2 linked regions of the Ovis aries genome follow. The protein of the gene in region 1 purifies or fractionates together with the protein of each later gene. This does not show direct contact. Links are inferred from orthologs where the notes say so. Each region holds a gene or a part of one and is shown in the gene's direction. Other genes may lie near its edges. The genes, in order: MAP4K1 and NUDC.

The links.
Region 2: the proteins of MAP4K1 (region 1) and NUDC purify together in Homo sapiens (affinity purification with mass spectrometry; 3 studies listed by BioGRID and IntAct, with this or other methods). This does not show direct contact. The link is inferred for Ovis aries from reciprocal best matches to the Homo sapiens genes MAP4K1 and NUDC.

Annotation. Positions count from the first base shown.
Region 1 is NC_056067.1:47,739,352-47,743,171, reverse strand, and holds the end of MAP4K1 (mitogen-activated protein kinase kinase kinase kinase 1), read left to right. Parts: coding exon 1-27; intron 28-117; coding exon 118-188; intron 189-843; coding exon 844-899; intron 900-3,198; coding exon 3,199-3,268; 3' UTR 3,269-3,373; downstream 3,374-3,820. Other genes in the region: RYR1 (ryanodine receptor 1), read right to left, coding at 3,620-3,715. UniProt on the Homo sapiens protein: Serine/threonine-protein kinase, which plays a role in the response to environmental stress. Appears to act upstream of the JUN N-terminal pathway.
Region 2 is NC_056055.1:240,000,754-240,003,273, reverse strand, and holds the end of NUDC (nuclear migration protein nudC), read left to right. Parts: intron 1-816; coding exon 817-900; intron 901-993; coding exon 994-1,112; intron 1,113-1,538; coding exon 1,539-1,590; 3' UTR 1,591-1,815; downstream 1,816-2,520. UniProt on the Homo sapiens protein: Plays a role in neurogenesis and neuronal migration. Necessary for correct formation of mitotic spindles and chromosome separation during mitosis. Necessary for cytokinesis and cell proliferation.

The DNA of each region.
Region 1 (3,820 bases):
CCATGACTGAAGCAGTGGAGGCCGTGGGTATGTGCCGGAATGATAATTCCGGGGTCTGGGGTCCAGGTTGGAGGCTTAAGTAGAGCCCAAGGGTAACAGGCGCTGCTTTCCTCCCAGCTATGGTCGGGGGTCGGCTCCAGGCCTTCTGGAAGCATGGAGTGCAGGTTTGGGCTCTAGGCTCGGATCAGGTAAGCTCCTTCCTCCTAGCACCCGCAAGCCCCTCCCACGTCAATCATCTCACTCATCAGATCCATTGGGAGAACAGACTCACTCAGGGTGTAAAGTCCCTGGAGGTGACACTTCTCTAGGCTCAGTTCAGACAGGTCCCCGTCTCTGCTCCAGTGTCTCTTGGGACCAGAGCTCAACCAGGGTCACTGTGTGACTTCGCTTCTTTCTGAGCCTCCCTCAGACTCCTAACTGTAAAATGGGGTCACAAATAGAGACAAGTGGGTTAAGAGCATGGACCAGACTACCTGGGTTGGAATCCAGCTGAATGATTTTAGTCAAATAGCTTAATCTTTCTGTGCCTCACTTTTCTCATCCGGAAAATGGAGTGAAAATGATGCTTAATCCACAGAACACCATGTGTCAGGCTCTGCCCTTACACTTTTGTATTCTCCTTAATCTTCGGGATCACCTGTCAGGTAGGTATTATGATTTCAAAGGTTAGTGCTCTGAGGTGCAGAGAGGTTAAGTAACTTGCCTGAGGTCACACAGTTGATGAGTGGTGTTAGCAGCAATGATTATTTCTGGACCTGAGGAGTTCAGAGACCTTGCCCCTTACTCTCTTTAAGGGAGAGGGGAGGAGTCTTCTAGACACTGATACAGCACCTTTTTCCCCAGCTGCTGCAGGAGCTCAGAGATCCCACCCTCACCTTCCGTCTGCTTGGCTCCCCCAGGTATGAACTTCGAGCAGAGGACAGAGGACCAGGGAGGGGGGGTGCTTTGGATGTAAAGAGGGTATCTTGAGGTGTCCCCAGCCGTCTGAATCTTTGGCCTGGACATCCTCTCACTTGGTCTCCCTGCTTCTATCTCTGTCCCCTATAGTCTATTCCCCATAGAGCAGCCAAGGTGGAATTTTCTTTTGTTAAAAAAATTTTAATTAATTAGTTTATTTGGGGCTGTGCTTTGGCTGTGTTGCGGCTCCCGGGCTCTAGGGCACAGGCTCAGTAGTTGTGGTGCGCGGGCTTAGTTGCCTCATGGCACATGGGATCTTCCTAGATCAGGGATTGGATCCGTGTCTCCTGCATTGGCAGGCAGATTCTTCACCACCCAGCCACCAGGGAAGCCTGAAGGTGGAATTTTCATTCTTTTTAAACTTTTTAGTGATATGTTGATATAAATTTAGATTCAGAGAAGTTGCAAAAATAAATTTAAGAATTCTGTATCCCCTTCACCCAGATTCCCTGTATATTATTTTTAACCACATTTGGTTTATTCTTGCCTCGCATATATGTGTAATTTTTTTCTGTTGGCACATGAATTGCAAGCATGATGCCAGTTTACCCCAAAATACTTCAGTGTATGTTTCCTAAATCAAGGCAAGGACATACTCTTACAAACCACAATACAGCTGTCAAAATCAAGAAAAGAGCACCGAGATAGCGCTATCTTCTAATTTCACACACCCACTCAAGTCTCACCAAGTTGTTCCAATGATGCTCTTTGTAACCAAAAAATAATACTTTTTTTTTTTGGTCCATGATATCATCCAGGATTACAGGCTGCATTTTGGGGTCATGTTTCTTTAGTCTTGTGCCTGGAACGTTCTTCAGACTTCCTGTGCTTTTCATGACCTTGACACTTTTGAAGAGTACAGGAAATTTGTTTTTCAGAATGTCCCTTAGTTGGGTTTGAGGTTTCCAGGTTACACGTTTGGGGCAGGAATACCACAGAAGTGATGGGGTATCCTTCTCACTACATTGGATCAGGAAGTGTGTGTCAGTTTGTCCCACTACTGGTGAGGTTATCTTTGGTCGGTCACTTGGTTAAAATGGAATGAGCCAGCTTTCTTGACTATAATGCTACTCTTCTTTTCTCTGTATAAATAAGTATTCTTTGGGGGTAATTTCTTGAGACAATGTAAAATTATTGTTTCACCTAATTTTACCATGACTTGATGATTTTTGCCTGAGTCTATTAAATGGTGAGTTTCCTATTTCTATCATTTCTTCTAAGTCGGCATTCTACTGTAGGAAAGAGCTGTCCCTTCTCCACCGTGTATGTATATTTGTATGTATGTGTGTATATATGACTGTGTGTTTGTGTGTATCTTAGCATAGTCTCAAGGATTTTTTGTTTATTCTTTTTTAAAAAGATGATCCTCCACTTTATATATTTTTTTAAAGATTTACTTACTTGTTTATTTTTGGCTGTGGTGGATCTTCGTTGTTACACACAGACTTTTCTCTAGTTGCCGAGAGGCCGCTCTTCATTGCAGTGTGTAGGCTTGTCTTGTCGTGGCTTCTCTTGTTGTGGACCACAGGCTCTAGGCACACAGGCTCAGTAGCTGTGGCTCATGGGCTTAGCTGCTCTGTGGGAAGTGGGATTTTCCTGGGCCAGGGATCAAACTGGTGTCTCTTGTATTGCAAAGCAGATTGTTAACTGCTGGACCACCAGGGAAGCTGATTTTCATTTTATTCTATGGGTTATAATCTGTTACTATCATTATCTGTTCTGAGGCACAAATACTCACAGATTTAGCCAGTGAGAGCTTCTTCAAGGATCTCTCTGACCTTTCAATATGTCAGAGGTGTCCTTTAAAATCTAGATCTGATTGTGTCACTCTCCACCTGGTTAAAAGCTTCCTGTGGCCTCAAGATAAATACCCAATCCTGGTCACAGCCTACAAACCATGACTTGTGCAGTCAAGCCCTCTCCCATGTAAGTCCTTTGCCCAGGCTGTTCTCTCTGCCCAGAACGCTCTTTCCTGCCCTTTCATCAAGTTCCCTCCTGAACTTCTTTCAGGCTCTACCATCCATTCTTTAGTGACACCTTGGCTGACCCCTTGAGCTGGGTTTCCCTGCTATGTGCCTCATGCTTCTTTGTACTCATCTAATTCACTGATTCATGTTGGTCTCCTGAGGGCGAGGGCCGTGTCTGCTCATCCACTGCTCTAGCCCAGCACTATGCTGGCACAAACTCTATCGACATCTCTGTAAATGAGTGAATGAACTGACTTCTCTTTTCCTTCCCCAGGCCTGTGGTGGTGGAGACGCGCCCAGCAGATGATCCCACTGCCCCCAGCAACCTCTACATCCAGGAATGAGTCCCTGAGGGGGTGTTAGGAACCAGTCTCTACATCTCCCTCCCCAGTGGACACACACTCCTGATCCTGGCATGCCCCTGTCTCCCAATAAACATGACTTCAGTCTCTGCTTTCATTTTGATTTTGGGGTCGGGGGAAGGAGAGGAGAGCGGAATTCCTGGATGCCCCCCCCCCGCCCCCCAAAAATCAACAATCCAACACAATGATGTCAGGGGTATAGCACAGACTTTATTCGTCAGTACATGGTCACCCCTCCCCCAGCTGCCTTGGGGGGAGGGGTTTGAGGGCTGTGGGGTTTGCTGTGAGAATAAGGCACTTGAGGTGGGGGGTGAAGGGCCAGCTAGGGGTGTCTCAGCTAAGCTGGTCCTCATACTGCTTGCGGAAACAATCGCCAGCCGGGAAGAAATCCCAGCATCTCTCTTGGTACATCTTCCAGACGTAAGACTCCTAGGGGTGGGAGATGGGGAAGAGTTAGTTGGTCACATCTTCAAATGCTTCATATTGACATGAGCTTTTCACTGCCACCTGCTGACTGACCTTATATTAAAATTC
Region 2 (2,520 bases), on another chromosome or scaffold:
TCTGAATTTTTATTATGGGTCTTAGTTGCCATGTGCGGGATCTTCCTTGTGGCATGTGGGATCTTTAGTTGCAGCACATTGGACCTAGTTCCCTGACTAGGGATCGAACCTGGGCCCCCTGCCTTGGGAGTTCAGAGTCTTAACCACTGGACCCACCAGGGAAGTCCCTCCATTAGGTTTGTATCAATACAAGCATTCAGTTCAGCAAATACTTGAACACCTACTCATGCCAGAGACTGTTCTAAGTGCTGGAGGGAAAACAGTGAACCAGACGTAGAAAGCTATGCCCCTCTGGAAGCCCGCGTTCTCCCCTCTCAGAGAACTGGGATGCAGACCCCAGTAAGTGAACATGGGCTCTGTGAAGCGCCAGGGTCCAAGGAAAGAGTCCCATGGCATGTACTGCCTGGCCCAGCCTACCTGACCCCCTTGGCTGCCTCTCACTCACCCCTCTGTGCCCTTGCCCTTGCATTTCCTCCCACCTGGAATGTCCTTCCCTGCTTTTTAACGTGGTTCACGCGTGTCGTTTAAGGCCCAGCCCTGTGTGTCATCCGAACCTCTCCCTCCACCTGATGAGTATCTCCCTCTGTACTTTATTCTTTCCGTTATCATGCTGACTGTCTCCGTGTCTGTCTCCCCCAGCCACCGGGGAGGGCAGAGGTCTTGCCTCTCTGCCCCTAGGTCCCAGTTCAGGCCTTGTAAGTCCCTGATGCAGGATGTGGCTGGGAGAGAGTTTGGTTCTGGAAGAGCTGGGGGGTGGTCACCAGGGTCCAGAGTGAGCCACCACCCGTCCCCGGGTGGCCCTCCTCTTCCTCTCAGATTAACAAGATGGAGTGGTGGAGCCGCTTGGTATCCAGTGACCCCGAGATCAATACTAAGAAGATAAACCCCGAGAACTCCAAGGTGAGCCCAGGCTGCTTGGAGGAGCTGCGGTCGGGAGGTTTGGGGCCTGGGTGGCCCCAGGCCTTCACCCACCCTGTCACTGTCTGCCCCCAGCTGTCAGACCTGGACAGTGAGACCCGTAGCATGGTGGAGAAGATGATGTACGACCAGAGACAGAAGTCTATGGGGCTGCCTACCTCCGATGAGCAGAAGAAACAGGAGATTCTGAAGAAGTGAGCGATGCAGAGATGGGGGTTTGGGGGAGGTGTCTACGGCTGGGACCTGGGTGACAGTGGCAAGTGTTTACTGAGCAGAACACAGGAGCTGCCCCGCCCCTTCCAGGATGAGCCAGCCAAGTTTATGGCTTTATAGCCTTGGCTTGCCTCCCCTAATCACTTACTGAGGTCATCTTGAGGGCAAGGCCACCACAGGATAGGAAAGGGTAACAGGCGGTCACAGTTTCCAACAGAAAAAGCAGTGCCGGTGTTGGCACCTCAGCATCCAGCCTTGGGGAGACCTTGGGGGCCCCACTCCTGTCTGGCATGGCTCCGGGTTGCTGAGAGCTGTAAACAGATGAGACCTCATGTTGGAGGCTGAGAGAAAGGGACAAATTTAGGGAGACGGATGGCCTGTCTCACCTTCCTGCTTTGTCTCTGCAGGTTCATGGATCAGCATCCAGAGATGGACTTTTCCAAGGCCAGATTCAACTAGCCCCTGTGTTTGCTCCCCTGAACTCTCTAGGCTGAGCTCCCGGCTCCCCACTTTCCTCTCCCACCCTCCCTGGGACTGGTGGGCCACAGGGCCAGGGCAGGCACGGGGCTGGCTGGCACACACAGGTCCCAGGCCATCATGGGAGAAGGGCTGGGGCCTTGGGGGGGGGTCTTGTCCTCCTCAGCTGGCCTGCTGTTACACATTAAAACCATTTACCCAATTCCACTCACGTCTTCTCTTCCCTCTGGCCTTTCTCTGGGGTTCAGGCCTCTTAGGACTGCTGCTGTGACCTGGGGGCTTGACTGCTCACCCAGGCTCTGCTGTGTGATCTAGGGCAAGTCTTTGCCTCTCCCTGGGCTCAGTTTCTCATTACTTAAATAGAGGATCCCGACAAGGCTTTTAGTCTGTGTATGATTTTGAACAAAAGGGGTTGGTTATAGGCACCAAACAATGTCAGATTCTCCAAGGGGCCCATGACTCAGCAGCACTTAAGACCAGCCTGACTTGATTTCCATTTTCATCTCTGAGACAATTTCCCACTGCACTGGGTCTGTCCTTTAGTCCTGGAGCAAGTGTTTCTAAAACTATACACTACTTCCCAGAGGCAGAGAGCAAGCAGCAAAGCCTAGGGGCACCGCCTAGGCCTCAGATGGGCTTTGTGTGTGGTGGGGATCTGGCTGGGAAGGCAGGGGGAAGCCCAAAGGAGCCTGTTGTGTGTCTTTGACCTGGACCCTTGCAGATTTTAGGGCTTCTCAGGAGTGAGCCACTGAGGCTGGAGAGGTGTTCTCTTTTGCCCCAGTCCAGCCACCAGAGCTGACCCTTGCCCCGCTTTGGCAGGAAGTACAGGTCACAGTGCAGAGTGCCATAGAGGTTATGGTAACAAGACGAATGGGTTCACTTGCCCAGGGTGCTATGCCCTATGAGCCACGG